2 linked regions of the Struthio camelus genome follow. Each later gene encodes a partner of the first gene's protein in a complex. Links are inferred from orthologs where the notes say so. Each region holds a gene or a part of one and is shown on either strand. Other genes may lie near its edges. The genes, in order: QRSL1 and GATC.

What was found.
Region 2: QRSL1 (region 1) and GATC share a complex: the UniProt entries of both Homo sapiens proteins name them as parts of the heterotrimeric GatCAB amidotransferase (AdT) complex. The link is inferred for Struthio camelus from reciprocal best matches to the Homo sapiens genes QRSL1 and GATC.

What each region holds. Positions count from the first base shown.
Region 1 is NC_090944.1:58,706,082-58,722,316, reverse strand, and holds the start of QRSL1 (glutamyl-tRNA(Gln) amidotransferase subunit A, mitochondrial), read right to left. Parts: upstream 6,422-16,235; 5' UTR 6,288-6,421; coding exon 6,264-6,287; intron 5,976-6,263; exon of another isoform or gene 5,936-5,975; coding exon 5,776-5,935; intron 4,568-5,775; coding exon 4,469-4,567; intron 2,918-4,468; coding exon 2,821-2,917; intron 1,033-2,820; coding exon 856-1,032; intron 1-855. Other genes in the region: RTN4IP1 (reticulon-4-interacting protein 1, mitochondrial), read left to right, coding at 6,545-6,809, 8,526-8,677, 9,496-9,564, 9,812-9,936, 15,423-15,471. UniProt on the Homo sapiens protein: Allows the formation of correctly charged Gln-tRNA(Gln) through the transamidation of misacylated Glu-tRNA(Gln) in the mitochondria. The reaction takes place in the presence of glutamine and ATP through an activated gamma-phospho-Glu-tRNA(Gln).
Region 2 is NC_090958.1:7,924,567-7,940,953, reverse strand, and holds GATC (glutamyl-tRNA(Gln) amidotransferase subunit C, mitochondrial), read right to left. Parts: upstream 7,770-16,387; coding exon 7,674-7,769; intron 5,772-7,673; coding exon 5,605-5,771; intron 4,800-5,604; coding exon 4,696-4,799; intron 4,287-4,695; coding exon 4,231-4,286; 3' UTR 3,975-4,230; downstream 1-3,974. Other genes in the region: TRIAP1 (TP53-regulated inhibitor of apoptosis 1), read left to right, coding at 7,881-8,027, 8,318-8,401; COX6A1 (cytochrome c oxidase subunit 6A1, mitochondrial), read right to left, coding at 11,926-12,012, 12,606-12,745, 13,038-13,140. UniProt on the Homo sapiens protein: Allows the formation of correctly charged Gln-tRNA(Gln) through the transamidation of misacylated Glu-tRNA(Gln) in the mitochondria. The reaction takes place in the presence of glutamine and ATP through an activated gamma-phospho-Glu-tRNA(Gln).

The sequences.
Region 1 (16,235 bases):
AGGACACAGTAGTTAAAGAGCATTCTTAAAACACCTTCCAGTTAAAAGCACAACTGAAATAATCTTATACACAATGAGCTCCACTATGTAGCTCTAAAAACTGCCTAAGTAGAAAAGCGTGAAGTTTTAAGGGTCAGATTTCTCTCAATATTTGAATGGGAAGACAGTATAAGTAATTGACTTTTTAAATAAAGGACTGCTATTCCATGCAGATAGTAAGTATTAAAAAAATGCCAGCTTGTTTATTTTTAACTCTCTTCTTTTTTTTTTTTAAATTATGGATGAACATCTAAGTTACCTAAAGGAAGCCAGCTGCACAGATAAAGGGATCTGAAAACTTTTAGTTCTCAAATCTCTTGCATTTGTATTGTTACATAACCCTGCTATACAACAAAGAATAGGAGGAGATATTACTACAGAGTTATCAGTTGAGGAATCTTGTCATTTTCTTATAGACTTAGAGTCTAATAGGCTTATCGATGTAGAGAATATGTCACAAATCCTATGCTGTTTTTAAGAAAGTATGTGGGAAAAACAATCAAACGTCATTTCTTTACTGCCATTAGTATTTTATTTCATGCAGCGCAAAATGCTTGCACCAGTATGCTGTACAGCACTTAAATTTAATAAGCTTAAATTTACCTACATGGACTCATTCTGGCTACATGTCATGCCATGAATAAACTAGAGATGCTAAAACAAATTCTTGTGTACCAGTGCAAATAATCCTGTAAACAGGATAAACATTTTCCCTGAAACTTAGTCTACGAACTAGCTTATTAGAAATTATAAAATTAAAACCTTGCAACACATTTTGAGAAATATAATTAAAAACAATTCTAAAAAGCCTCTTACGCAAAACATGTGAAAGATGATACAGCAGCGGCACTGCCTCCTGAACTTCCTCCTGTTATCACCCAGTTAGACTCTTCATTCTCAGAATGGGATTTTGGTAGAGTTTTCTCTTTGTACTGTCTTGAATAACTCCAGGGGTTTCTGACTGGTCCAAATATTCCATCCGTACTTCCAGATCTAAGATATTCAGATAGGATAAATACAAACAAGAGTGACAGATGACACTCTCCATTCAACGACTTTTTCTTCATGCAGTTCCTCATTCTTCACCTTAGCAATTTCAATTTCAACATGGAAAAACAGCCGTATGTATATCCTCATGCAATCAGCTCCAACAACGTTGCACAGAATCGCAAAGTTTTTACATCTTCACCCCTTTCTGACACAGTACTTTGATGGAAATATGAACTCATACCTCACTCTGACATGTGCTAATGCCCCTGAAACTAATGTAATAACACAGCAAAAACGACTGTGAGCCACGTTACAATAAAGCTGCGTATCTGCTACAAAACAAAGGTCTTCAGCTTCCTAACTCTGCATTTGCAAAAGACAAAAGAATATGACCACAGTCTTGTGGAAAACCATAAAACCATGCTGGTAGAGGTTTAAAAAAAAATAAAAAAAAGCACTGCAACAGCAGAAATGAGCACTGCTCTGTAAATAAAATGCTATTACTCCCTCCGTAGCCTTCTCCTGAGGCCACAGTCTGTTGGTTAGATTGCTAGACCGGCTTCTCAGGGTGCAGCTTCAGTTAGCCTACACCAATCTAACGGTGGGCTGCTACCAGAAGTGTGCGTGTGGGGGGTGGTTTCCACCTTTCTCCCAAAAATCTACTTCACGTTTTTTCTGACTCTAGGTTGCCCACGTTACTAGCCAAACCACCAGACAGAACAGGCAATTGACACAGTGAAAACTAACCTTACCAAGATATGACTTTTGAGCTGGATCAGCTCCCTGATCAAGCTCACGGCGCAGCCACGCTGGTTTTGGCACAAGCGAGACCATGCAAACACACAGTCCAAAGATGAGGTAAGGGGCGGAACAATCCTTTTCTGCAGAATCTGGAGCTTTGATGAGCTCAGACCAGCTGCATCACTGCATAATCAGTTGTTTTCCTCTGCGCTTTTTCCCTGCCTTTCTTTTGAGGAGTTTCTTTTTGACAAAGAAATGATTTTATCCAAAACAACACAGCCAGAGTACTTCAAGCAAATTGTCTGAATTCCCAATCAGTTCTGTCTTTGGTTTAGACAAAACAAAAACCAAAACAAAATACAACGCTTACTACTTCTCACGGGCAACTAAGTTTCCAGACAACCTATTCCAGACCCAGCAGTCTCCCATCCTTAACTGTCCACCACAACTCCCTGCCATAGCTTGCTGCCTTCACTGATTTGCTGGAGAATCCATTTGTAAAAACACTTCCCAACTTGCTCCTGACAAAAGCCAGCAACATTAGCTTAGGCAATTTAAAGTATTGCTCTGGATTAGCCCGTTTGCAGAAAATCAGGAAGAACTCGTACAAATTATCCCAGTGGATGACTGGCAGAGGCAGTAACTGTCATCAGGGGCATCGTAATAATTAGCTAAGGTCAGACATCACCAGTAAGCAGAGAGAGGAAGGCAACAGACAACTGGGGTAGTAACCAATTCTACTAACACAGCTGGATCAAAAAAAAAAAAAAATACCTTCTTGCCTTCTGAAAGGGCTGTACCACTTCCTCCCGCTCAAACACAGCTCTGGTCAAACACTACTTTCATAAAAAATCAGCATTTATCTGATTTACACAACTGTACAATTGTTCATGGAGAAATTCATGCAACTCCACACGCTCTTTGAGAATAAGTATTCACTATTTTTTAACTCACACTAAGAAGAATTAAGGATTACAGATAGATCAGAACAGATGGTGTATATTCTATTTAATGTGCAATCACATATTAAAAATAATAAACATCACTCACCCCATTGCAAATTCATCTAGGTTTGTTTTTCCTAAAAGGACAGCTCCCTGATCCAATAATTTCTGAACTACTGTAGCATTGTAAGGAGAAATATAACCTGAAAACAATCAGAACAGTTAAGAGATTGGTTGGTGAGATACGGATGATTTTCAGAAAGAACTATTCCTCCGAACTCTCCAAAGTTGCCACTGCTTTTGCCTAAGAATTGTGACTTTACCGTGCTAAAACGCTGCTTCATGATAACACTAGTAATTCTCAAAATTCATCAAAAGTAAACGAATATTGTTGTGTTGACAATGCTTTTCTTCTTCCACAATTTACACTCCAGTAATTCTGCATTGTACAATCCTAAACTGTAGAACTAAGACTTCACACAAACAAGACAAGGGTAGCAAATTACTGGAATCAGCCAATTCGCAGTAACTGTCTAAAATGCATACTCTTACCTCACAGCAAATGAGAAACAGCTCTTTCCAGAAGAGTGCTAAGTTACGTTGCATCATTTGCCGTTATTATGAGATAAAGGAGCGTATAGCTAGCCACATGCTGAAATTCTAACTGGCTATCCTGTGATCAAGCGTGTGATCTCTTATACCTTACATAAACTAGGATGAGAAAAAAATCACTTGCATAAGATACTGGGTAGCAACCAACTCCCTGTTTGAATGCTGACAGAAATTTCTCTACCCCCACCCTGAACTGGAATTAGCAAAAAAGAAAACGTCGCTCCCAATACTCTCTGCCATGCTACTGCAATCAGTCACAATGGGTCTGAAAATGTGCATAAGCAAAAGCATGTGAGGTAACATGAAGCTTTTAAAAGGGGGAAGTCTTTTTTTTTTTTTTTGTTTCTTTCATTACAAAAAACACGGTCATCAGATTAGCTCAAATAAATTAGCAGAATCCTATGTTTCCTCAGTTTTTCAGCTTTGCTCTGTATGTACAGTGGAATAAAACTGATATAAGAAATGCTATCTCCTTAACCGGAAATTAGGGAGTCTATTTGTGTTGACCTATCCTATAACAAAGATATAGGATAGCAGTTTTTTTCAATTGCTTTTACTAAGGAAACATTCTAAGTTCTTGAAAATCTTCACGGACTCTTAATTGAAAGAACGAGCTTATGAAATTTGAACAAATTAAAAAAAAAAGACCAAACTTCTAGGATATGTTTGTATATCAAGGAATGTAGAGAAAAACCTGGAATGAGTACTGTCTCACAGCAATATAGAAAAACTATTTAAGTCAGAATTATCAACACAACAACAACAAAAAAAAAGGCTTTGCATTTTGCTAGACAGGACAACAGCAAAAAGTACCAACTGCTCTCCTGTAAATCTAAAGCTAATATGAAGCAAAATGTGAGCTAGGGAGTGGTTACGTTTTCATTTATTGGCTACAATAAACATTGCGTTATTAACAGCAACGTAACTATGTAAATAAACAAGAGGATGTGTTTATAACAGAAAAAGATGCACCTGTAATACCGAACAGCTTGGCAGAGGAAAGCAGAAAAACACTGAAATGACTTCAGTTTATTTTTTGAAAATACTTAAATTTCCAGAAGAGTCTGCTCCACAATCCCTTTAAAGAAGAGAGTTAGGGCTTTGAAATGAGATCTGACTTTACTTAAAAAGCTCGACTGTACCTTTTAGCATGTTTGATGCACATGTTGTCTCAATGCCAGCTGTATTAAAGTTGTCTTTTACTGCAATAGGAATTCCATCTAGAACACCCAGCGGCTGACCTGCATTAGGAATTATCACAAAGACCACAGGGATTAAATTGAAGTGTACTATATGTATGTTCTTCTTATAAAGTAAGATACAATTGATATGTTCACTTTTGATTTTTTTGTAAGTAAGAATGCTGTCCACATCAGATGGGACGGCTGTCTGTTACATTTTCAAGAACCGTCTTCTGTTTTAACACTAGCATTAAGCCTGCCCGGATCAGACTTATCTCTGTAGAGCCCAGCTCTGCAAATTTTCCTAAGCCTCAATACAAGCAGCTGCTTTCAGACAGGTTAGTAATCCCAAAGGAGTGCTTACTTCTTCAACCATGACCACATAATGGCTTTGTCAGCCTTACGTACTGCCTAAATCGACTCCATTCCTAGGCTAGGAGTCATAAATTCTGCCTATCTGACATACACAGTAGATATGATCTTAAAAAAATGACAGTAGCAGAGAGTCTTCCCCAGGTGACTGATTAATCACCACCCAGCCAAAAAAAAAAAAAAAGTGCCTACACCAGGAAGCAAAATACTCTGGTTGGCAATTTTCTTAGGCTGTCACAGGTCAGCAAGCATCACCCAGAAAGGAGAAAAAAAAAAAAAAGAGTACCCCATCAGGTGAAAATGCCCTTTTTCTATCATTCAGGAAATGCAAACGAGAATTAAGAAGGGAAGTTTGTCAGTGAGGACACAACAACCTCCAGCTGCTGTAGACAACACCATTTAATGCTCGTCCGTTTACCAACAAACAACTGAAGATTATCAGAGTTGCTTTATTTTTATTTGCCTATTTCAAATTTAAAACCTGATGTGCCTAGGAGGAGATGTGACTGTCTTGCTTGACGGGCCTACAAAGACCGCTACATCTTGTTGTGTGTGGTAATCGCTATGGATTTAAACTAACCTCCTGAGGGAAAGAGGGGGCAGCCAGCTGCAGCAGTGTGCGGTAGGTACAGAGCTTACTTCGTCTCTACTGCTTACTACTGAAGTAAGCTAACTGGCTTAGAGCAGGTCTCGCCCTGGACGGCTGAAGCGGATACGCTCCTGGGTAACGACGAGCGCAGACCCACAGAGTTCACCGCTGTGACCCCCATCCACTAAGAGCCAGAGGAATAACACGTACACCTGCTTTAAGAATAACAGGTGCTTCATTTAACAAGGAGAGCTCGCCCGTGGTGCCTTTTGAAGGACCAGCGCCAGATACCAAGGAGCTAACACACCTCTCCTGTATCTTTTCTCTGACTCTTCAGCCTGCTTCAACGCAGTTTCTTCCGCGACGGTAACGTAGGCGTTAAGGAACGCGGTGCTCCTGATGAGGGAGAGGCAGCGCTGGCAGAGCTCCGCCGGGCTCACGCGTCCTTCCTTCAGCGCCGCCGACACCTGAAATCACGTTTCCCGCTGTGAGCCTCCCGCAGCCCAGGTACAAAAGCCGGTTCCGCCCCGCCGGCCGGCCGGCTGCCAGGCCTCCCCACATCGGCCACGCAGGTCCCGGGGCCGCCGCCACCGGCCGCCATTTTGGGGCACGCGCCGCCCCCCCCCGACCCACAGCGCTAGGCCTTAACGGAGATCACCCCGCGGCGGGCAGCCGCCACCGGCCGCCGCCCCGTACTGCGGCGGGGCAGGGCCGGGCACGGCACGGCACGGCTCGGCTCGGCTCGGCTCCCCGTGCGCCGGCGGGTCCCGGAGAGGGCTCGGCGCCGCTACTCACCTCTCGGAGGGAGGCACGCAGCATGCCGGCGCCTTCCCTGCCTCCTCACGTCTCCGCCGAGGCAGCGCGAGGGCGAGCGCCTGGGCGCCGCCATCTTGCCGCAACATCGAGCGGCGCCATTGGCGGGGCGGCGCAGAAGCCGGCCGCCCATTGGCCGCGGAAGGTCGCCTGGGGCCGGCGTACGGCACCGTCCCGACGCGGGGCAGGCCCCGACGGCGGTGCGCGGAGGGGGGTGGCGGAGTCGCCCCACCTGAGCGGGAAGGCGCCGGGCCCCCACGGCCATGCTAGCGCGGGGGGCCGCGGGGCTGCGCGGCGCCGGGCGGCGAGGCGGCGGCCTGCTGCGCCGGGCGGGGGCGGCGGGCCGCGGGCTGCGCAGCTCGCCGCCGGCGCGGACCGCCATGCCTTCCTGGGTCATTGACCGGTACGGCCGCAACGAGGTGCTGCGCTTTACCAGGGACATGGCGCTGCCCGCCATACGCTTCCCCAACGAGGTGGTGATTAAAGTGCACGCCGCGAGCCTGAACCCCATAGACCTTAGCATGAGAAGTAAGTGCCGCCTCCTGCCGCGCCTCACCCTGAGGCCCGGCCGTCCGCCGCCTCTGAGGAAATAACCCGAAACGCCGCGGTGTGGTTTCTTCGCGGCCCTGACGTACCCGGGGGCTTTTACAGTCCCGAGCGTCCCTCAGTCGCGCCCGTCTCCAGCGAGGCTTGCCGCTCTGAGACGCGCTTCGCCCGGAGCCCGCCCGCCTCTCTCAGATTCCTGTAGTTCAGGCTTAAAAAGGCCGTTGCCCTTCTGAAGGCAAAAAGGTGGGGGTGGGTTACCCGTTTTTGGTCCGGGTAACCGTTTGCTGGCCTCTCGCAGGCTGGAGGCGCGCAAGTCGACTGACTTGTTAGCAGCATAGCCATGGTGGGATTTTATTTCCTGGCCTCTTCCCCCTTCCCTACCATCTGGGTGCTAGCAGGTAGCACTCTCTTGATCAAGACCCTAGTCCTTCAAAGGGGAAAGGTTTGCCCTGAGAGATGCACCGAGTTTTCCCATCTCCTGAACATCAACGGGGCTGAAGCTCAAGGTCACCTCAAATTCAGCCTGTACCAGCTAGTGCAAACCGCAACGTTCGTTGTCATGTGCCTTGCGTATTCCTGAAACGGCAGCTGAGTAGCTGTTGTCAACCAGCCCGGGAAATCTGTACCTTTGACTGACTCTTTGTATTTGGCATGTTTAATCAGAATGTTTTCTCAGTTTCAAGTTTTGAAATATGAGAAGGAAGTCGCAGTCGTTGAAGATCTTGCATTTCATGCTGAGATGTGACCTCACATATCAAATTAGATTCAGTAACCCGTGTGGAGATATCTGCATGAAGCCTGCTGACAAAGCTGTGATTTGTATTTTGGGTTTCAAATAAATTAAGAAGCCTTTTTAATTATGGGTTTGATTATGCAACGTTTCCTTATCTGAGGGTTGTGGCTGAATGAGCCACTTGAGCTTCTGGGGCACAGCTTGTGTTTTGTGCCAGCGAGAGAGCGTTTGGAAGAAACCATGCTTTCATCCTGCTTTCATCCTGCTTTCAAGGTGTCTGCGTTTGTGTCTTTACATACCGCTTAGCATAATAAGGCAAATAGGCTTTCTCAGACGTTTGAAAGGCCATATATGTTGGAATACAGGTTTGTCAGGCTGAGCAGAATTGCTATGTGCATAATCCTAGGAGTTCACAGCATTTAGCTCTTTCTTATTGAATAGAAGTTAAGGTTTCTCATCCTAGGATATGTTCCTTAATTTTTACAAAGATATTCATGTTGCTATGCTTATGGTATTTTATATGAAAAAGTGGAATGGAAAGCTTGCAGTTCTTCTGGATTTCTGTGATGTTGTTGGACAGTGGAGCATTTCCCGCAGGCTTCTTAAAATGACAGTGTTGCCACATATTAGATCCCTCTATAACAAAGAGCCTTTTTTGTGTAGTGTCTAATAAGATCATAGTATAACTTGCTAAATTGTTTTATGGTGATTTGTATTTTTACACATAGTGTGTGTTATGTAGGGGAGGAAAGAAGAAATAGGTCAGAGTTAAAATTTGAGTTTTTTGTAAAATCTGTAAAAATATAAAATATTCCACTTTTTGGGCCTGCTTAAGCTACTATCAAAATGAAGAATATTTTGAAAACTAGATACATCAGGTGCAGACAGTGCTTTCTAATTGGAATTTTCTAGTTCTTAAATGAAAACGCAATAAGACATGTTATGATTAATTTCATGTTTTGTAGGTGGTTATGGTGCCACTGCATTGAATATGAAGCGGGATCCCCTGAAACTGAATAGTGTGGAGAATGAATTTCCACTAACGCTTGGTCGAGATGTGTCTGGTGTAGTTATGGAATGTGGACTAAGTGTGTCTTATTTCAAACCTGGAGATGAGGTGATATAACTAATCTCTTTTTTCCTAAAAAAGCATAGTTAAAATATAGCATGACCTGTTCAGGTTTCATTTCCCTCTTAAGTTGTTGTTGTTGTTGTTGTTCTCCTGTGATTTTGCACACGAAGAGTATTGTGCAGAAAGTCTTTGGAATGCTTTCTTCTCTACCTTCTTTCTCTTTAAAAAAACAAAACAAAACAACAACAAAAAAAAAAAAAACAAAAACCATCCCACCTTTTCCCAAACTTGCTTCGACAAGTTGCCTAACTTCTTAAATTTTTGGTCCATTTTAGTGGCAGAAAGAGGGGAATTTATTTATAACTACGCAAACTCAAGATGCTGCTTCATTTTGACTGAAGATAGAATTCTAACTGGAAGAGGGATTTTTTTTATTTTTTTTTTTGCCTTGGGTTACTTAAGTAGTAATAGTAGGAACTCTGGCATAGCTGGAGAATGACTTTTCAACTCCCACATAAATCCTGGTATGATTTGCTTTCAACTACTTAGTGCCAGTATAGCAAATTTTTTTTTTTTTCTCCCCTTCCCCAATCTGGGCTTTCCTTCTGTGAAAGTAATTTCCTTTTTTAAGGAATATATATACTGTGCACAGTGTGGTACAGCTTATGCAGCTCAGCAGTCCTTCATTTAGTTATTCTTCTCATGCTTTTTGTTTAAAGAGTAAGGTAAACTATTATCTGATAAGCAATAGTGAAGACTTTGCAAACTGGGAGAAAGTTTCTTTCATAAAGAAAACTTGTCTCTGTATCTACAATGTTGTGCAAAGTAACAAAAATTGATAGTTGCTTTCCCTTTGTTTTTAGGTATGGGCAGCAATTCCTCCATGGAAACAAGGCACTTTGTCAGAGTTTGTTGTAGCTAGTGGAAATGAGGTAAACCTTCAAAAATATAGCCAAGAGACAAAACTTAAAATTGTTAATATTTACATTATTTTTCTTCTGTGCCTAAGTAACTAATTCTTAGTGCTTAGACTGATTTACAATCTTTTGCTAATTGTGGATAATCAAGATAAGTTGGAAATGTGGAGTACATGATCTGCAAATCAATAAAGCTTGTCTAAGTATTTCAGTGGTACATAGGATCTGCTCTGTGACTTGGATACAATTGGTCTTATTTCAGGTGTCTTTTAAGCCCAAGTGTCTCAGTCACACGGAAGCTGCTTCCTTACCATACGTAGGTCTCACAGCATGGTCTGCAGTTAACAATGTTGGAGGACTGAATGACAAAAATTGTGGTGGGAAAAGGTAAGTAACTAGTTTTGGTGTTAAAGCTTAGTGTTCCATTTTTATATTGATTAGCAAATTATAAGGCACATCTGACAGTGATGAAGACTGTAATATTAAAAAAGGTCAGCTGGCCTAAAGGTGCTGAGTTCAATCTATACAACTAACGAGAGAGGCTCCTTTAGAAGGAGATTCAGACCAGGAGCCTGACTGAAGTGTTCTAGCCGCTTGCTGATGAGCAAGCTTCCTCTGCTGACTATACTGCAAATGTAGCGGTAGTGCCCCTAGGAATTTATAGGGACTTTATCTTGCTGCATGCTAGGCCATTTATCCAAATATATTCTCTCTTTGAGTTATCTTGTGTCCTCTCATCCACAGAGATGTGGTTCACTCAGTTGCTCTGTTCTGGCATGCCCTGGGACATTTGGATCAGACTGGTCGTCCGTGTTTTTAGGAAAAAGGAGAAGATGATGGGGTCTCATTTGGCGTGTGGGACAGAACTTTGGTGGAGTCAGAAAGGCAGAAGAGAAGGGGAAAACATGCAAGACTAGCAGCCAAAACAAATAGAAAAAGTGGCTTTATTATCAGCCTGTTAATCTGATAGTGGCAGGTGAAGGACAGGAGGAGGAAAAAATGTATTGAAAGATTGGACCATTTTTCAGGTGGACCATTTTTCACCTGATAATTGAAATTTGCCGTTATTTTGGCCTTTAGGTGCTTATGTAAATAGATAGCAAAATGTTGAGAATGGAAAGAAGGCTAAAATAAAAAATACTGGAATTGAAAAATAATCATTAAAACTACTACACTGCACCAAAAGTTTAGATCATGAAATAAGGTTGGGCACTAGGAATCTGCTTGTCTGACCTCTTCTTATCTTGGGGTTAGTGTTCCAGCGCAACACATTGTGAAGGACGCTAGATTTATTGCAAGTCTTCATCCGCATCTTTAAAAGATACTTAAGTGAATGGTTTTTAGTATGCCACAGTAAATTCCATCAGGGAAAATGTAAAGCAAATGTTTGTTCTGCAGATTAAAAAATATTTTGAGAAAATAAATTGCAAGACTTCCTTGAAGTTTATGTGCAGCTCGTGATAACATCCTAGATTTACCATCTCTTTTTTTCTTAAGTGTTCACACTGTGTTTTGCTGTCTTAACTTTCCCATATAAATATAATTAACCTAAAGATATGTTGATGGGCTAACCTTTTCCTAAAGTGTCTTTACAATGTTCACATAAGTGTTCAACTTTTTAAAAGTAAGATGTAAACTGCATTTATATTTAACATTTACTTTTATGTTCCCAACAAATATTTAATTACTCTATCAGCAAAAAACATTTTCATATATTTAAAAATTTATGATGTTTCCCCATCTTGAAGGTTTAGGTTTCAAAACCAACAGAGAATGGCTTATGTGAGGTGCTTTTTTAGTGAAAAAAAATCTTGGAGAAAATGGAAAAAATACATATATTCATGCATTTTTATATATATATATGTAACACTAAAGTGTCTCTGCAAAAGTACATTTTATGAACTTTACGTTACTATTTCAAGACAATAATTTCATAGGGTAAGAATGTACATAGTGTTTTTTAATTTCTTGAAATAGTTTAACATGTCTGATTGGCAAGAAGGTACCCATATATGTGATTTTATGTTGGTCTTTTTGTCTCCTGTAGGTGTATGTATATAGCTATGTAGAAGGGTGTATATACACACAAGAGTGTGTCTTATTTTGAAAGAGCATCTGTATTCCTTGATGAAAACTACTTCACTGATACTCTATTGCAGTGTTAAGACATCTTAGAAACAGCGAGATTTTTCCATTGGTGTGTATTGTTTTCTTTGCCTCTTTAAGGTGGAAGGGTGGGCTAACCAGAAATATTCTTAGTCCAATACCTGACTATATTCTGATCTGACAATAGTCTCTACTGCATTTGCACTTACTTTCACAGATACTATTTTTGCGAGTTTCATGACCCCATGGTTACCTGAAGCGTATTCAAATTGTTCATGATGTCTCCTGCTTCGCTACAGCTCTAGTCATTTCTTAACTTTTATCCTGTATCACTGTAATGTGTATTCTTTCACAAGCTAAAAGTGAATGTTCTTGTTATCCAAAATGTTCATAATGACTCTACAGTTCTGAAGTTCTCTGTGGATAACACTTGGAGGGCTTCTCATATTTGTGAGGGTCCTCTTTCACTGGAAGGATGCGCTCCTTCAAAAATAACTCTCTTAAATGTCTTACTGGGTTCACAAAAAGCATGATAAAAAAAAAAAATCTGACAGTTTGAAAAGTTCTTGAAAACTTTTACATTAATACTAAGTAAAAAAACTTAGTATACCAGAATACCAGGAGGAAATATATTAGGATTCTGTTACTGTAAGTTATTAAACTTCCCTTGGTTTATGCTGTTAAAATGAAAAGTTGAATGATGCAATACCGCAAGAAAATATTTTCAAAAAGTCTGTGCTTTGTTTCATTGTTTCATCTGTTGAGAAGAAAAAAGTGAGTGTAGGGTATAACAGTTCTTGATAGGATAAAAGCTTCTTGATATAACAAGAAGAAATACCCAAGAAGACGTTGTTGATGTAATCAAGTAGAGTTTGGCAGGTACATCTCTTGCTGTTAAACCTTTGCTTTATTTATGCACATGTGGTTGAGCCACTGAAAGTTGTGTTAATTGAGTGTAGACAATTCTAGCCTGCATTGCCCTGCTCCCCCAGCCTTGTTTCTCATTGTTGAGCACAGCTGAAACAGGTCCTGGTTCTCCGATGCCGTTTTCTGGCCGTGCCATAGTTCAGAGCAGGGTCCAGAGAGAAGTGCTAAGCTCGTAGATCCCATGGTATACTCATCAGGAGAGATCTGCTGATTCTGTGCTCATTTGAACCACTAGAGCATCATATGGGACTTAGTGAATGCTGAGGATGGAAAAGTTCAAATAAATATTGGTAGATACTTACTTGAATTATGTTCCTCCACCAGAAGGGAGCAAAGCTTATGGTAGGCGAGATGAACGTGTCTTTGTTCTTCTGGGAGAACTTTTTCCTCTTGGGTCTCTGGCCAGGTCAGATAACTCGTTAGTTTGTTCCTGGGTCCTGGTCCACTTGTGCACGTGCTTGTATGTTAGTTCACTCTCAGAGTTCGCCTTTGCAGTGACTCAGGTAGTTCCTCGGAGATCATTTTCTCCTGCCTATGTTCTCCTTAGGCAATACAAACAAAGCTGTGCCTGATTTGGCACTTTACACCCTCTGTGTTCCTTCAATACCATTCTAACAGGTCCTGCACCTTCAAACACTTCCCCACTTCTTTACCTTACGCCAAACAGCATGCGTTGTGTCCCCAGCGTTATAAAAACGCTGATGTGTTGAGCTGTGGCCCACAAGCCTCCTGTAATTACAAAGACTTTGAGCTGAAAGAAACAAGAACAGCCAAGCAAATGTGTAACAGCCACTGCAGCACTGCAGGCAGCCCAGGGCAAGGGCTGTGTAGGCAGGGATGAGGGCAGTCTCCTACAGGTGAACTGGAAGCATTGTGGGCTCGAGTCGAGAGTCATGCACGGGTCACTTGGCCTGGAGGGCGGCAGATGGCTCTGTGGTGTAGCTGCCTTTAAGAGTGTAAACGTAGTTTCTCTCTGAAGCAAAGAGCTTTTTTCGACTCAGATTATATGGAGAAAGCTTTAGTAAGAGGAAATTTTGGTAGAAAATAGCCCATGTAGCATAGGAACACAACTAATCCAGAACGTATTTCTCCCTCAAGAATCTCGAGGGCTTTTATTGAGGGAGGGGAAATAAAAAGCAGTTGTAACCAAGCAGCTCCCCAAAACCGAAAGTGTTCCATAAATCACTGAGCAAAATGTACATTTTCAGACTACAGCTTTCTCCAGTATTTAAGCAAGAAGGAAAACTGGGAAGACTGTTTGACAAGGAATTTGCTGTTTTTGTAGTAATGGAATGTAATGGAATTTCACCTTTTGTAGGGATTTAGTTGTGACCGTCCTTTGTAAGGATAAAGATGGTCTCAACCCAGTATTGTGAGTGTAGGATACTGTAGTGCTTTTTGTAGGATAATAAAATCTAAATATAAATGTTGCTTTAGCCGCCTTTCGTTAAAAGTATGATTCTGAGTATAAGTGCATTTTAGCAGACGGAACAGTGGCAGGCACTGAGATTTGAAATTCTCAATCTGAATTTTGCGGTTTAAATCAGTGAAATAGGAGGGAGCAGAATCTAATCTATTACAAAAGAGAAAACATTTTAAAATGGATACTGTGACCAAAGCCGAGCCTCTTAAGTTACTTCAGAGTTTTTGTAAACTGAGACTGTACAGTACGCATTGGCGCTTTGGACAAGCAGTTTCCTGCAACACCCAGCACAGTGAGATTTAAAACAGGAACACCACCTGCTTTTGAAAATACTGAAATTTTGTTGGAAAACTGAAGTTCTGAGCAACATGGGGCTCCACAGTCCAATGCCAAGACTGACCTGGAATTAGCAAATGGGTCCAAGCTTGTCAGGTTGTTTGTAGCTTCAGTTGCAAGACTTTCTTACTACTGTCCTTCCTGAAGTCTAGCTATTTATTAAAAATATCTAGATGAAGCTTTTGAATAGTGATTGGACTGTAGGAGGTAAGGTTCTCACACCACTAAAGTTGTATTCATTTTGATTAAATTAGGATAGTGTGTTCCATAAGTCACTGTGAGTTGTTTATTTCACACAGTTAAGAGGAACTCTCTAATAATTAGGTAGTGGACTCCTTTATTTTCTTGCTTGTTTACCGATTCCCACAACCTGGGATTTTACAGGGTCATTTTTGAAAGCTATGAAGCTAAAAAAAATTCTACTGCCTTTTTCCTAAAGAAAGGGACAGATACCTTATTTTAATAAACTTATTTATGGTGAGGCTTCTCTGCTACTTGTCTGTCTTTCAGATAGATATAGCATGATATGGGAAAATTATGTTTCGTATATTCTGCAGTTCCTGCTCTCTCTAAATACTGTGAAACTAAACCACTTTTTATCTTGGATAATACCAGTTTGTGTTAAATGTTGATGAACTTGATTTTTCCTCTGGGAAATATGACAGGGCAATGCCGGTGGAGTCTGGTGGGCGGAGAGACTCTTATCTGATTTGTCCCAACCTAAGCAATTCTGCTTGGGAAAGTATGGACTCCTGACCGGGCTTTTTGGTGATAAGTGTTACTGCCTGACAGCTCCACTGGCTGGATAAAGCGGAAAGCACATAGGAATAAGTCTCTTTGGGCTGAGATAATGGTCTTGGCACAGGAAATAAGATCAGCAATGTTGCGCATAAGATGAGCAATTAATTACCAGGTGTCTGAAGAGTTAACCACTAAGTCATTGTGAATGGCAAGTATAATCTTTTGCTTAAAGCAATTTGATGTCTGAGATGTATAAGAAGCATTAGAATATAAAATGGGATTGACTTCCTATTCAGTTTATTTAAATAGCTATTTAATAAATTTTAATTTTCTCTTACAGAGTATTAATATTAGGAGCTTCAGGAGGAGTTGGTACGTTTGCTGTACAGGTAATATACTGTGGCATGCCCAAGATGTGCCTTCATCACATGTTGAAATTATTCAACATGAACAAAATTTGATGGAAGGGAACTGAGGGAAAGGATAGTTAAATACAAGATACTGAATAATCTGCCAGAGCTCCAAAAGTGAAATATTTTGAGTTTGTTCCTTTCCATACTTATGTTTTACTGGCTTAAGGTAGGAAGCGGGGAGCTTCAGAAAAGGGTGTTGTGAGTGTACGTAGCAAAAGATCACATTTCATAGTTTGGGTGCAGCAAATTTGTAACTTGTATATCTTGAAATATGTAGCCTGTTTTCATTCTCTTTCAGTCCCCTTTCACAGCTCAGCTCCATAAATCTGAAAAGAACTTAGTGTGCAAGTAGAAAATCTGGTGGAAAAAGTAGATGATCGCAGTTTCAATTTTCTCTCATATGTTAATATCTGTAGCTGGTGGTGATGGTCAAAGGATGTAAGATGTACAAGTGTAGTGTGTATAAGCTGTAAATTAATTTCCTTTGCTGTCTTTCCTCTGCTGTCCTTTTGTCTTTCTTCATTCTAGTAGCTCTAAACTTTGGCTAGTCAACGTATTCTTTTGTTGAACCATTAATTGTGAAATGTCCTCTTTTCATGCTTTCATGTAATACGGGGGGATTTGGATGCTAATCAATGTCTTCTCATGCTACAACATCTTTCTCCTCACAATATGAAAAAAATGTGCAAGTTGGATGATTACATCACTGTTTTCCATTTTACTAGACTATAAACGTAATG
Region 2 (16,387 bases), on another chromosome or scaffold:
GTGAACAGTGAATTTACGGAACAGGGTACTCTCTGCAGCAGTTGCAGGGGATCTTTGAGTACTAGACAGTTTTGCACTGACAAAAATGAACCATTTCGCCATCTTCCCAGCACTCACTGTGAACTTTAGAAACACCCATGAATCTCTGAGGAGGTGGCTGCGTTTGGTAGCTGCAGGCAAACTGCAAAGCATTTATTAAAAAATGGTTAGCTGAACAAACAGATTTGATGACAACTGCAGGAAATGTCAGTGTGGGTGAGATACATGGCTTTAAAGAGGAACATTAAAGCCTGAGATACATGGCTTTAAAATGAAACATTAAAGCCTTACTTGTTGATCAAGAACATAAAAGTGTAATTCCCCTCAGGACAGAGCTGGAGGGGAAGGCAGAACAAATACATCCAGGAGATGATAGCTGCGGTAGAGGAGGTGCCGGGGAAGATTGGGTCATGACTAAGGCATACCATGAGATTCATACTGCAGATGGAGGATAGACTGTAAGCGCCTTGCAGCAGTGGCTTTATTTTGTGCTGTGTGAGCATTGTATAGCTGTATCTAATGCAGAGATTTTTCTTGAGGCTCCTAGGTAGTATCAAAATATAAAATAATCATTTTTGGTAATAAAACAACCTCAGTTTTCTTTTTTCCATCCCCATCTTAAGGTTTTCTTTGTAAAGCTGGAATCCATATGCTAGGGCATCTAAGCAAATTTTATAAGCTATGTATCTGTATGGTAGAGGGAATTCTCAGCAGACACAAGTCAAGCTATCTTCGCGGTCTCCAGGGGAACTACGTACACTTACATAATCTCAGAATCTGACCCTTTTTTTGGTCAAATAACAGTTTTTTTTCTCTATTGCTATAACTACTAATCACTGAGAAAAGATGAGTTGTTTCAGAAATATACGTTACGTTTGCCTCACTGCAGTTAGGAGGAATTTGCAAGTAGTGATCCCCCCGCCCCCCCACTAAAGTGAGTGTGTATGCTTTTGAGCATGCGCAAGGGTCACATTGTTGATGTTATTACACAGTTCCTTAGCTACATCTATTTGTTTGCCTGTGTTCCTAAGTCATGGAGTGGCAGAACACTGTAAAGATTGGATTTTCAAGCTATTTGTGAACAACACCTGCTGCGTTAGACACCCACCGAGGTGGACTGGAGTCATGATGTAGACTGCCCTATAGGCAGCCTGTCTGGCCTTTCCCAAGGCATTTTAGTTTGGGGTTTGCAGGTGTCTGAGTCAGAGCTGTAATTCTCTTGTCAGTGGCAAAGTTGCAGCAAAACCCTTTATTAAGGAAACATGTGTTTTCAACTCGTTTAACATAGTTCAGCCTGTGGGGAAGAAGTGTTAAGGAGGTGGCAGCAGGCAGCCCGCTCCAGCTCCGGAGCGTGGGGGCTGGGTGGCAACAGTGCACCAGTGAGGCGGGGGGGTTATGCTCAGTCTGTGCCACTTTGGCAATGTGGGATCATCTTTGAGCAAATTACTGGCTTGACTGCTGTTTACATAGTTGCTTGATGATATATTGGGCTAGTAGGTCCTGAGGCAGCACAGTCCAATCTCAAACTCTTGCTTTTTGTGTAAATAACATCGTGCCCGTTCTCTCTGATGGTTAAAGAAGGAGGCCAAAACGGATAGGAGCGAGTGGAGATTTCTCAAATTGGGAATGCTCTGCTAACATGTTTGTCATAGGATGTGCTTGCTGACTTACAGTCTTTCCCTGCTGTGCTTTATGCATGGATCCTAAGTGTCTGTTAGCAAAGGCTTGTATAGTTGTAGAAGTTTGGGATTCGCAAGGTCTAAATCTCAAAAAACCTGAGACTTAAACAGTAATACTGTGTTATAACTTTGCAGTAAATTGGATTAGTGGGACTAAATACAGATTTTTATTCAATACCCTTCAGAGAGATCAAATATATATGTATATAATTACATGTAAATATATATATATATATCTATGCCTATAGGTGTATTATGGAAGCCAAAACAAATAATGAGGTAACTGTGCAAAAACAAAATAAGAGTGGAACAAAAGTGTTTTCTCTCACTTCCTGCTAGACAGATATTAAAAAAAAAAAATTCCAGATCATTCAAAGTTTACCAAAACAGCAACTTCTCAGATAAGTGAACGAAAATGGATCTTGCCCAGTGGTTGTGATGTCTTGGTCCTGTGTAGTAGGCTCATCTTATTGGTGAATAACAGCAAAGGCAGCTGTAGTCTTTTTCACTCAACTTAGGTTTTCCATGAAATAAGTAGCACATAATGGCTTACGAGGGAGCTTTTCAAAGCAGTTTGCACACACATACAGTATTATGAGCAAGCCACTAATGGCTGAACCCAATACCATTACTACTGAAACTCTCTTCAAGTATTTTTTTCAGTGTTTTTCATATTATTATACTTTTAATAGACTTAGTGGCCTTTTGAGATGTTAAGCAGCAATGCATGCATGTATATATTTAACCTCTAATTTGTATTACCTGTTGTTTGCAAGGATGTGGAAGTTTATGGGAGAGAAGGATTAGGATGATGGCCTCGCTCGGGACTTCCTCTATCAGGCAGCTGGCAGGACCAGAAGGACTGCATGCGTGAAGCTGTTGGAAGTTCATTATGCAGATGTACAGAAAGATAGGAGTATCCAGAGTGGGCGTGTACAGAATGGGAGCAGTGGCTTTTCTTTGCAAAGAAGACACAGAACATGTACTGCGTAAAGTGGATGACATCAAGGTCCAATCTCACGGGGTAAGTTTCTGCCCTCCAGGGAACAGCATGTGCATGCACAGTCATGGAAGAGCACACTTTCCTTTTCCTGCCATGCTCTCGAGAGCCATAAAAGCAGAATCTCAGAGCTGGTGATTAGTAGTATCCTATTACAATAACTTCAAGGGTCTCTTCTAGCATTTCTCAAGAAAATTCCATTGTGGCTCATGATCTCTTCCAGTGCATGAAGTTATTATTAGAATAAATAATTCTGAATTTGTAAATATATATTTGGAGGGGACATGGTCCAGGAAGAAAAGTCTGTCACAGATGTTTTCTGTGCTTTTTTATATCTTGAAAGCAAGAGGTCTGGACTACTCCCAGTTTGCTGCACTCTTCTCTTTTCAGCAGGTCTCTGGTTTCTGTCAATGAGCCTTGGCTCCTCGTGCCTCCAGCCGCTGGAGGTTCTGTGAGCAAACTTCAGTATCGTCAGCCAGGATGAAACTGTTGCTCGCTGTAGTGGTGCTCCCCATTTTCCCAGCACAGAACCTCTTTCTGTGGTGGTCTCCTGATCTCTGAGCTGCTAAGCCATAGAGCTTGTTTGTTTGTTTTAGGTGGAGTTTTTTTGTTCTTGGAGCTGTGCTACTTCTTTGCGATCACCTTTTTACTGTCGCTGAGCTTTCTATGACACAAGTCCTGCCTGGGAGCTGAAGGCTAAGCACGCTTGCTTGGGAGATTTCCTTACAGAATTTGAGCTACTGGTATGTAACTCTTGCTTGAGAGTTTGGCGTCTCCTTAGTGTGAAGGATGGCTCTATTTTTTTGTAGCTTGCCACTGGCAGTTAAAATCCTAATGGGCAGACTCCATCCTTTACCTGTCTGGCTAGGCTGACATCATAGCATCTTACACGTTTGTTCTCATCTTCCTCTCCAAGAGCTGAACCTCTGCTCTTGCAGGTGATTGTTAACGAGGTATTTCTCAAATGCCCTCGCCAAATGTTTTGTAAAGTCTTTCTCTGTAGACCTTGAATACCAGAATGTGAACAAAGCAACTGCCACCTTTATGGAAATCTCAATCTGGTTATTTATGCATTGGTCATAGGCTCCAGTTGTTCATTCCTCATTCATGCTGGGAAAGGGCTGTTGGTAAGGATACAGTGCAAATATTTGGGTTTTATTGTATGTTTGTCAGGAAAAAAAAGTGTTTTGTTTCTTTTTTAATTATCACACTTAACGTTCTCTTTAAAACCTTTAAGCCATTCGGCATCTTAAAGATTAACATGGACACATGGACACGCTTTAATAAATAAAAGCACAAAGGACATTTGTCTAGATTTCATGCTGCCTTTCAGCTTCATGAACAGTGAATATATTTCAATAGCAAGATAATTTACAGAAGGAAGGTGTAAAAATGTGGTAGTACAAGTGCTCTTTTGATAAAAATATCCACTAGAGTATTTCAGCTGTGGCTGCACAAACCCTTGTTTTCCCAAATAAACTACTGAAATGGCGTTCTGGTTCTTGGCTTTCATTAAGATCCCTGCAGAAAAGTGTCTCTTTCTTCTAACTTTGGTAAAGGGATGTTACCTGATAGGAAACAAACAAACAAAAAAAAAAAGGTGTGAGACCAGCTGTAAGTTACCTTCCGGGTAGTACAAATTAACACAAATGTGCCCCTCCAGTTTATTCTGAATACGTACAGGCAACTTGCACGTCCTGAGCAAAAAAGTTTTGTCTGACTTCCTGCAAATGAAGGAAGGTCTATATGCGCACTATCTTTAGGGTAAGATTTCTGTACTCCTTTTGGACCAATAGATTTAAGTGTGTCTTCATAGACGGCTACAGATATTATTTCCCTATTTTAATACATTCTTATTACTGCCTAGTATTTCTGAAAGTAAATTCAGTTGTGTGTGGGGGGGTACATTGCTCAGGTTAATTCAAGCAAAAGGTAGTTCAAGCAAAATTAAGAGGTTTTTTATAAACAAGACAGTACCTGGTGGGGCTACAAAATATTCCTCTATTTTTTCTCTGGCATTTTTCAGCAGCTCCTTTGTGCAGTTGCCTTCTGTAACATCATCTTCTCTGAGATACAGACACCTGAAGAACAAAGAGTAGTAGCCTGTCTTTAAACTACAAAGTACAAAGGCTAGCACAGAAGTTGCGTGCAAGCACCATGGATCTGTTTTTTTTTTCACATCTCCATTATCTTTTAATGTTTCTGTTCAATAAGCTGTTGACATGTTAAGAAGTTCTTCCTTAAAGACGACTGGCAAATGAGTGAACAGTCGCAGCCTTGTTCCTGTCAGAAAAACTTAGTCTGTCAGGCTTTGAATATACCTAAACAATCACTAAACCGACAGTGAAACCTTGAAAACATCCCACGCCTCTTGACTTGGTGGTAGCTTTAGTATGGAGCTGGCCATACAGAGGCAAGTACGTCAGAGGACGTACATGTAGGACTGCATGTTTGCATGTAGGATTACTGGCAGCACAACTTTGTAAAAAGCTGAGCTAAACATGCCCTGTTAGGTTGTTACTAAAGTACAAAGCATTGAGTATCTCTAAAGCTGTTTTCAGTCTCAAGCAAGCAGACCAACAAGTACTAGGACACTTTGAAGCAACTTCAAAAGCTGTTGCCAGACACTGGGGGAACAGCACGTGCAGGTCCTTCAGGATAAATAGCAAGACAGCGCTAAAGGATTGGAGTGCATCTTTGCTGTGCTAACGTGTTAAGCTTGTGGGCACTAATCTGGCCTCTTTCTTCCGCACACCACCGCATTAAAGGCTTTCTGTAAGCAAAGGGGCCAAATGTATAGCTAGGATATTTCTGGAAAAAAGTTTTCAGAGCAAATACTTTGACAAATGAATAGTTCAAAGCAGGCCACTAACAGTGATTCCTCACCTGTCTTCTAGTACTGAATCCATTGGTTGTATTCCCTCTGTGTTTACCTCATGAAGCTGATCAGCAAACTGGATTGCTTTCTGCAGCCGCTCTACGCCCTCTGCGTTGCGGAAATCAACGAGCGCTAGGTGCTCCAAGTGATCCAGCACGGCCACCGTTACTGTTTCCTGTAAGAAAAGACACAGTCCCTTGCTTGGATCCTGGGAATAGGCTGCCACAGACGGATGGAAAAACGGGCAAAGATGAGTCAGTTCCAGATACTGTCGCTAACATCTTTGCTATGGAACAAGCTTTTCTTGTTTAGAAAATAACTGAGTTTACTTCTGTTAGAACATCTTGATTTCTTTTATTCCTTTCCCTTTCTGATGAAGTCACAGATCAGAATGGAAAATTGACTTTAATCAAGCCAGTCCTTCCTCCTTCTCCCCGTCACTGTCTGTGTAGCAGAGGACAAGCGGAAGAACTGGCACTTGTAAAGCTAATTCGGAGAGCCGTGGGGGAGAGCTGGCGAGGGGGCTCCAGGCCTGCGTGCTGCAGCTGGTTCTCCTCTCCACAAGCCCAGAGCCTCGTCGCACAGGGCTCGCCTCCCGACTGCGACAAAGAGCTGTTCCTGTGGACTTCAGCGCAGCTGTGACACTCCACAGCCACTGAAGATCTACCTGCGTGTGTCGCAGCAACCAGGGAGCTGTCGGCACCCTGCACACACGAGGTAAATGGATCTGTCTGCAGGGTGCCGTGAGTGCGGACACGCCGATTCCAGCTCTGCGAACTGAGGACGGGCTGTCCCGGGTGTCGGGGACAGCGGCTGTCTGGGGATGGCATCAGTGCCGGGTGTCGGGGCCGGGCTGTCCCGGGTGTCGGGGATGGCATCAGTGCCGGGTGTCGGGGCCGGGCTGTCCCAGGGTGTCGGGGACAGCGGCTGTCTGGGGATGGCATCAGTGCCGGGTGTCGGGGCCGGGCTGTCCCGGGGTGTCGGGGACAGCGGCTGTCTGGGGATGGCATCAGTGCCGGGTGCTGGGGCCGGGCTGTCCCGGGTGTCGGGGATGGCATCAGTGCCGGGTGTCAGGGCTGGGCTGTCCCAGGGTGTCGGGGACAGCGGCTGTCTGGGGATGGCATCAGTGATGGGTGCTGGGGCCGGGCTGTCCCGGGTGTCGGGGATGGCATCAGTGCCGGGTGTTGGGGCTGGGCTGTCCCGGGTGTCGGGGACAGCGGCTGTCTGGGGATGGCATCAGTGCCGGGTGCCGGGGCCGGGCTGTCCTGGGTGTCGGGGATGGCATCAGTGCTGGGTGTCGGGGCTGGGCTGTCCCGGGTGTCGGGGACAGCGGCTGTCTGGGGATGGCATCAGTGCCGGGGCCGGGCTGTCCCGGGTGTCGGGGCCGGGCTGTCCCGGGTGTCGGGGACAGCGGCTGTCTGGGGATGGCATCAGTGCCGGGTGCCGGGGCCGGGCTGTCCCGGGTGTCGGGGATGGCATCAGTGCCGGGTGCCGGGGCCGGGCTGTCCTGGGTGTCGGGGATGGCATCAGTGCTGGGTGTCGGGGCTGGGCTGTCCCGGGTGTCGGGGACAGCGGCTGTCTGGGGATGGCATCAGTGCCGGGGCCGGGCTGTCCCGGGTGTCGGGGACAGCGGCTGTCTGGGGATGGCATCAGTGCCGGGTGTCGGGGCCGGGCTGTCCTGGGTGTCGGGGATGGCATCAGTGCCGGGTGTCGGGGCCGGGCTGTCCTGGGTGTCGGGGATGGCATCAGTGCCGGGTGTCGGGGCCGGGCTGTCCTGGGTGTCGGGGATGGCATCAGTGCCGGGTGTCGGGGCCGGGCTGTCCCGGGTGTTGGGGATGGCATCAGTGCCGGGTGTCGGGGCCGGGCTGTCCCAGGGTGTCGGGGACAGCGGCTGTCTGGGGATGGCATCAGTGCCGGGTGCCGGGGCCGGGCTGTCCCGGGTGCCGGGGCCGGGCTGTCCCGGGTGTCGGGGCCGGGCTGTCCCGGGTGCCGGGGCTGTGCCGGGGGACAGCAGCTGTGCCGGTGCCGGGGGCCCCGCCCCGCCCCGCGCGCCCCGGCGCCTCGCGCGCCGCCGTACCTGCGGGAGCCGCCGCCCCTCCCGCGCGCCGCCGCCGTGCGCCGCCCTCGGCCCCGGCCCCGCCCGCAGCAGCCGCAGCGCGCGCAGCGCCCGCATCGCCGCCGCCGGAAGCGCCCGCGCCGCGTCACCCGGCGGCACTTGCGGCGCGCGGGAAGCGCGTCACGACGGCGGCGGGGGGCGGGGGGGTCGCGGGGTGCCGCCGCCATCATGAACAGCGTGGGCGAGGCCTGCACGGAGCTGAAGCGCGAGTACGACCAGTGCTTCAACCGCTGGTTCGCCGAGACCTTCCTCAAGGGCGAGCGCGCCGCCGACCCCTGCGGGCAGCTCTTCCGCCGCTACCAGCTCTGCGTGCAGGTGCGCGCCCGGCCCGGCGCCTCCCTCCCGTCCCCTCCGCAGCCGGTGCCGGCCGTCCCTGTCCTCCTGGCGAGGCTCGTCCGCGCCGGTTAGCGCGGCGCTCGCCGCCCCTTCCTGCGGCGGGCTCGAGGTCGCAGCCCAGCGCTGCTTCCCCGCGCCTCTTCGAGCACCTTTAGTATTACAGCTTTGTCCCGAGCCGTCCCAGCCTACTAATCCTTAGGTCTTGCTTTGTCCCAGACAACACATCATTTAGCGCGGTAAAGGTGCGTGTTTGTTTTTCTTCTCCCCAGAAAGCAATCAAGGAGAAGGACATACCCATTGAAGGCCTGGAATTCATGGGCCCAAGCAAAGGGAAAACGGAGAACTCCTCTTGACTTCAGCTCTTCCCGTGGAGTCACTAACATGAGCCTTTGGACTAAGGAACCTAACCACACAAAAAGACTAGATGCCACCTGGAAAAGGCCTTTGTTAAGCTGCTTTCTCTGTGTAGCCTTTTAGGAAGCAAGTACTCTGCTCTGCTTGTAAAAACACCACCACCACCACCCCGGATCACGTGGTAATTACTGCCCCCTTTTCGATGAATGTTGGTGGTGACTCAGCATCTAACTGTGAAAAGCCTTTTTAACTAACTTCCTATGTGAATGTACTCTGTAATGGGAGAATGCCTGTTAGGATGGGTTGAGTTACTGATCTGTAACCGATTTCTCTTGCTTATTTATATAACACGTCAGAACATTTAAAAAGAGCATGAAGGCGATTGGTTTACTTTGTCTCATCTCTGTGCTGCTGACTTGTGGAGAAAGGGGCTTGGTTGATATCCTGGATGCTGAGGGGCTACCACGTTGCTTTGTATCGATGCCAGAGATGTTATAAAAGCACTTATGCTCCGTGTGCAATATCCTAGCTAAAATAAATATTGATAACCAGGCTATATTTTGTTCTAGTAGATAGCTGTCCAGTAGAATCTGAGTATGACCTCAAAGAGATAGAGATATCTTCAGCAGAGACAGCCTGCTGAAGAGGAGCCTTTGATTGTGGAGGGTACTCCCCAGCCTTTTCCGAGGTACTGAAACAATCTGCAACTTGAATTTTCTTTCCTTTCATGTTGTCTGTCCCTGCAGGAAAACTGCAGCGCAGACCTGGCCGTCGTTCTACACGCTCTCCCACCAAGCCCCGGGTTGGCCATGATCATTGTTACACTTTTGCTCGGGGTAGCTGGAAGCGTGTATTGAATGAGGGCAACATTGGATTGAAGCTTGGCAGCTGATATGGTTAAAGCTCCAGCTGCCTGTCCTGCCTCTTGGGGCCGCCTCACCTGCTCGCAAAGCTGCTCCCGAACCACGTGTAGTTCGCACCTAGTAAAGCAAATTAAAATTGTTACCTCTTTGTCTCAATATGCTGTCTCGTAAACTACAGAAACAGATTAAGTTATTAATTCTGTAGTGGCAGTGACTGTGAAAGGGTGAGATGGCCGGCTAACTCATCAGATATCCCAGCTGAACGTGGTGTAGGTACATTAACTCCTTTGTGTAACACGACAATGACACTGGTTTTTGGTTTTCCTAAAACAGTTGCCTGAAATTGTCTGCCTTTGAATGGCAGTAGAAGGGCTGAGGAGGCTTCTCTCTGGAAAGAATGGAAGGTTCCTGATGACAGGTGTTTCCTTACGTGGTTGTGAAGAAGTCATCAGGAACTAGCCTTTTCTTCTCTCCAAATCCGTTTTCTAATTCCTCTGTCCCGAGACATTCAATGACAGAGCTTCGCTCCTCCTTGCAGGTACTAGGAAAATGAAGGTGTTCGGAAGAGGGGTGAGGGATCCAGACCGGGACCCACCCTGTCTCATCCAGGAGCCCTCAGAGCCTTGTGGCAGGGGAGATCTCCACTGATCCTCATATAGGGACGGGCTAAAGCTGTCCTCTCCTAGAACACCAGTACAGGTGAGGGAGTTAAAAAAAATCATTCTGAGCTGGGAATAAAAGAGAGAAGTCAGCTTTGTAATTCTGTTGGAAAAAAGATGAGCTTCATTCTTAGCTTTTTAAGGACTACCTGAGACATGGTTCAAAGCCTTTACTTTAAAACAAACAAAAAAAAATCACACAAAATAATTCATTTGCAGTTCTCAAACACAGTAGCTGGCTTGTCTGCGCTGCAGGTCCTAAGTAACGATTTCACATGCTTAAAATTAGCTTAGGATTTGTGCTGCATATCAGAAACTGCAGCATAGTGGGGCCTTCGTTCCCTGTGCCTTCAGCGATGGCCTAAACATAGCAGCTGTTGCGTGCTGTCTGCTCTATAGTCTGGTTTCAGCACACTCCCTTCTCAGGTGCGTTAGGCAGGTAGCTCAATAGGCTGTACAGTGATTATATGAAGCACTTAACAGCTTGTTCTGTGACACTTAAAAATTGCTGGGTCACTCAGGTATAAATAAAATTAGCTTTCTCTTATGGGAAATATGCTAGGGGAACATTCTATTCTATTAGAATAATATTCTATTTTATTCTATATTCTATTCTAAATAGCGTTTTGGGGACTGTCAAGTGTGAAACTTTTTTTTAAAGGAGTAACCTATACAACCACTTCACTTTTCCGTAATCATTTTCATACAGGAATAAATGTACTGTTATTTGGGCAGTTAACTTTACAAAAAACTAAGCCCATTAGTGCCTTGTTCTGTGCTTTTAATACAGAAGAATTTTAAAGTCATCCTACTGTAGTGTTCTGTTGAGCTACGTAGATGAAATAAATTATACTGAAACATGGGAAAAGGTGTCCTGCGGTGCCCACTTTAGAGCTTCTTACATTTAGCTCATTTACTCTCCATCACTCCTTTCAGCAGCAGGATGCCAAGTCAGCTGTGGTAGTCTTCCTTGGGGAAAAATTATGATAATAATTACAGCTAAGACATAAGTTCTCTCTGCGTTCTGCCATGCAAAAGAATATGGAAGTTGCAGAGGGAATAGGAAAACAGTTGACTTGTTGAGAGGAAACTCTTCAAAATTAATGCTGTATTGGGACAGGCAGAGAGCTTTAGACTTGGCTACTGACTTTGGAAAATAAAGTTATAGTCTCTCCTTGAAACGTTAAACTTTAACCTGCAGAGCCGAGTTGCTTCTCAGTGACACAGTGCATATTACAAAGATGCAGTGGAGCAAAAAGTGTGTTTTCATTTGCAAAGGCCGTAAGAGAGACTTTTGTACAATTAAACCACAACTATGCTCTTTGTAAAGCTGTGAGTAACTTATGTGCACTGCTTATAGCATACGAGGAAACTCCAGAGCTAGAGATTAATACTGTGAAATTGCACAGAGCTTAATTACACACCTTTGACTGCCGCCGCCTCCTGTCTCAGAACACGCTGGGTGAGAGACAGTTGCCTTGATGACTGTGTTAATAACATTTTTTTTTATTGCTGTAGTTGATTACACAGAATTTGCTTCAGTATACACTGAATTTTAATCTAGAGTGTTAGCCTAAAAACTGTTCATTTTAATGTGAGCTATGTGTTTACAGTGATCAGGTAGACCAGGCATCATGCATTATTTGCTTTCATACTCATGACAAACATATTGATTGCTAACATCAGTATTATCAGGTACAGCAGCAGGTGTAACACTCAGTCATTCAAAGCCCTTTGCTACTGCGCTATTGCTTGTGGGGGAGTGTCACCGTTTTAAGCAGAATAAACTTCTAAGGATTCACAGACTAACAAAAAAAAGTCAGATCCTGAATTCAAGTTAGGAGTTTTTATTTAAAGGACCTCTACGCAAGCACATAACAGAGGTCGCGACACCATTCGACTTGATAGTAGAAGGAATGCAGAGTTTCTTAAACGATGGTTCCCATACAACATTCTGGTCCAAATGCAGAAGGAGCCAAAGTTGTGGCTATGGTCAAGATCTTAGTTTTCGTCTTCATAACCAGTTGGGAGAGCATTAACATGGGGATTGTGGAATAGACTTTTGTTCCCATCACCCCAGGGGAAAGGCTGTTGAAAGAAGAAAGAAAATACGCCATTGGCAGCTAATGGAAGGCTCTACTACAGCACAGGAGATTAACTCTTGCAGCAGGAAATAGACTCAAACATCTCCCAGCTTGAAAGGCTGGTGAAATAAGCAAGCTAACATCTGCTTTCCAGGTTGTACAAAGAGCAAGGTGGAAAACAGTCTCCGTTAGCTGGTGACAGCTGTCTCTAGACAATAAGGTCATTGCCAGGACATCAAAGATCAATACTGTCAGGACCCTTGTTTTGGGAATCTGGGATCATAGGATCAGCTCTATTAGCCTCTGTATTTGTGTAAGGTAACTAAAGCAGCTCTGTGGCTGAAGCGTTTTCAGTGACGCCCCAGCAGGATTACTCTGGGGAAGCAAAAGGCTAGTTCTAGACCTGCAAAGGCGATGGGTACTTCAGCTCAGCTGTGAGACCCTCCGTTGCTGTCTCAGAAACAAAGTTAAAATCATGCCTATGTATGCAGCACCTCACTTTGTAGGTAAGAAAGCCACAGAAGCTGTAGTAACCTCAGATGAAGCTCTGCAGTCACAGGAAATAAGAAGGTCTTTGAACAGAGCACTGGAACATACCTTGGTCCTGATCCGGAGGTGAGCATAAGGAATAAACTCGGGTCTTTCATGCTCGTGCTGTCCTTTTAAGTAGCAGTTCAGCATGCAGACACCAACTCCAGGAAGAGCAACCACGAAGGTCAAGAGCTTCCACAGGCGGGCTAGTAAGCGAGAAGACAAATTGCCCGAATTAGAGCAGCAGCAGCAATCAAGATTTCCGCGGAGGCCGCCCCAAGAGCATGCCGAGCGCGCTCGTGCAGCCGCTAGGAACGACAGGGGCTGCTGAGTCCCCGAGCCGGGCGCGGGGCTCCGAGCGGGCGAGCCGGGGCCGCCGCGCCGCTTCCGACCGCCAGCGGGGGCTGCCCGCTGCCGCGCAGAGGGCGGCGCCCGCCAAGGGCAACGGTGCCTCGGCCGCGGCGCCGGGCTGCGCCCCCGCCCCGGGGGCCCCGTTACCTCCGCCGGGCTCGTGGGCCGCGGCCGACATGCGGCGCCCCGGCAAGGAGCGCGGGGCGGCGGCGCCGAGCAGCAGCCGGGAGACCCTGGCGAGCGCCGCCATCCCCTCTGCCTCGGCGGCGCCCAGCGGAACCGGAACCCACGGCGGCCCGCAGGGGACACACCAGCTGCGCAAGGACGGCCCGCCCGCGCGTGCGCGCTGGCGCGCCTACCTCGCGCCTGACCTTGAGCCGCGGCGGGCCGGGCCGCCTTGCTGCGCATGCGCTGTCCCTGGTCTAGGCCGCTCAGTCGGGGGGAGGGAGGGGGAAGGGAGAAACCGTTAGTCGCGTGACGTCCGTCGCGCCGGGTGGGCGAGGGGGCTCCGGCGCCCCGGCGCCATTTTGGCACTGAGGCGCGGCGGCTGCTCCCGTGTGGGCGATGTCGCAGCTCTGGGGCCGGGCCGGGCCGGGCCGCCGGGAGGGTGTAGTGGAGCGCTGGGGGTGTCTGGAGCCACGAGAAGTCTGGAAGGGCTCGTGGAGCTGGTGTAGAGGCGGGGGGCAGCAGCGACGGGGTGGGAACGTAGGAACTCCTGGAAGGAGATTGCAGGCGGGCACCAGGGACTGTCAGGATGAGGCACGGCGAGGGGCAAAACCAACGAGTGCCTGTGGCCGCTGACAGTGGTTTTGTGCTGGCTTATTCTGCACTTTGAAGTGCAGCAATGGATGGGAGCAGCGACCACACTGTTCTCTAGAGCAGAAGGAGGAAAGGCATCGATATCTGGCACCATGTGCAGAGAAAGACTAAGGGAAGAAAGTTTCCCAATGTTGATGTCCGTAGCTGAGGTTCAGAGACTGTGTATCTTCGGTACAGATGACTTAGGAGTCAGGCTGGTATCCTGGGTAGAATTTCCTGTCAATGGAGTAATTACAGTGCTGTATTTGCATTTGTTTTATATGGCAGCAGAGAATGGCCGTTGCATTCATTGACAGCACTTTTTCACATTAGGGACCAGTCTCATCACTGGGATATGGAAACTTTCCATCATGGCAGTAAAAAGATGTTTGGCATAAATGAAATGCATTTTTGTAACCACTGATGTGTCTTTAATTATGTAGATTCCTGGGAGAATTCTGCTGAAATAAAAACCACCTCAGTTGAATAGACACAAGATCTCCAGAAGAACTGTTCATTGTAATTAATTTGCAAGTGTCTGGATCCTGTTTTTATAATAACTTTTTATTGGAGTCTGATCGTTGCCTGTTTGACCTTTGGTAGAAGCCATGTAGGTGGAGAGTACATTTTCAAATGCTCATCAACTCTGAAGTAAAAGAAGAGGACTCCTGTACTGGCTGTACAGACAGAAACAAAGAAAGTAAAGAAACGGGACCTGAAGGTAAGGACAGTGGCAAGGTCTGGTCTGTGAGGGAACGATGACGGAGGAAGTGCATTTTCCATCCTCACAAGGTATGTTCATTTGTGGAAGAGGAGAAAGTGGTTCTGCTATCTGATGAGATAGGCACCTGTGAAAGATGACAAAGAGCAGAAGGAAAGCCCAAGAGCTCGGTTTGGATAGCCAGATCTCCTGGGTTGGGGTTATGATATTACCCATTGCTGCTCTGGCTATGTGTAGTATAGGCCCAGTTCAATGCAGTTCCACAAAACTGATCACCTTTTCTGTGGTAAGACCTTTGTGGCATGGCTAGGTTGCTGTTCCAACATGGTCATAGGCGGTAGGAAGCTGTGTTTGCTGCTGGGAAGTAAGTATGTTTTCATTCTGTTCACTGGGAGGGCTTGAATCTTACTGTGTAACATACAGAAATGGTGAGAGGTCTGGCATCTTGGAAGGCTGTTGTGAAACATATCTTGGTATAAAAATATTGCCCAGTTAAGTTTGCTATATCTTTGCAGTGTAAAATGCTAATAAATACTTTGGTATTTGATAGTGTCTTATTTTTTACATCAGGATTACCTCTTCCACTGATCCACCTTCATATTCTTTCATGTAATATATCATTTCAAGATCACTCCTCTTTCTGTACTGAAAGAAAAACAGATATTCCTTGGTGGCATTGTGCGTATCTTCCTACAGAACTGTTCTCCTAATATCTGCATCCATCTGATGCATTTTTTACAGTACAGACCTGAAACCACTGCAGCTCACCATGCGTGTGCATGCTTGCTTTGTTGAATGGAGTTTGGAGTAATTACATGGTGCAGTTCTTGTCCACATTGGAGGTGAATTTTGCCTTCTTCACCTACACTGTTTAGATTTCAGGCTTGTGAGGCGTATAATACCAGGCTTTAAAAAAGAAATTAGAATGTGACTTATCTTGTGAGCAGAAATTGTAAGAAGTATTTTTGAAGTGATGAAACCAAGCTTAAGTTCTCTATATTAAAGCAAATTACAGCGCTGATTTAATAGCAAGAACCATATAAACAAAATCACTCTTGTTTACAGCAAAAAAGCCTGTAAGCAAACAGCAGACATTAACACTTCCGAAGGTGACCATGCAGTTAAGAGCAAAGGAGGAAGCAGAGAAAACAAAAAAGGATCAGCAAAACAAGTAGCAAACTGCTGTCTAGGATGAGGAAAGAAGTATAAAGTGGGACTCAAAAATCTTTTGAGAGCTGTGCTGCCACAGTAGCCTCGGAAGACAACATGCAAGGGCTCAGCAGGAGGTGAGAGCAGGCAAGGCATGCTTCTTCCAAACTCTTCCTGACACCAACAGTGTGCTCCGACACCTCTGACAGTCTTGAAAATGCTCTTCCACCACAGAGTCACTTTGTAGTGGCAACTCTTCTAGCACTCTGCTGCCCCAGATCAGAAGTCCCTTGTGGGCACTTCTTCCACCCTTGGAGCTCCAAGGGACAAGTGGAGAGCAAATAAAAATGGGGGTTCGGGTTGGTCCTGAGCCTGAGTACACTGGCAGTTTTGTTACAGTCTACGAGTTACGCTGGTTTAAAATGAGACTTTCACAGGCTTTATCGTCCCAAAAGGTGCAATTAACATGTGTGTTAGCTACGTCAAGAGGCTGACGGGGCTGATTCACCTCTTCTTTATATGTGGTGTAAGTTAGGAGTGACTGCTGAAATACACAAAAGATTCCACCTGATACATCTCTTCTAACTGAGAGAAGACAAGCTGATATTTGAAGAAAAGTAGCTATTTTAAAAAGAGAATTTTGAGGAATGTTTTGATATAATTGTATAAAATATGCTGTAACTGTGCAATATGTAATGGTTATTATCACTGTCATGATTGCATTCATCCTGAGAGCAGAGCAAAAATCTTTATAAAGGTGTAGGAAAGTATCAGTGAATGAGGAGTGTCAACTGTACCGCTGCCACAGTAGCTCTGCCTGGATGATTGA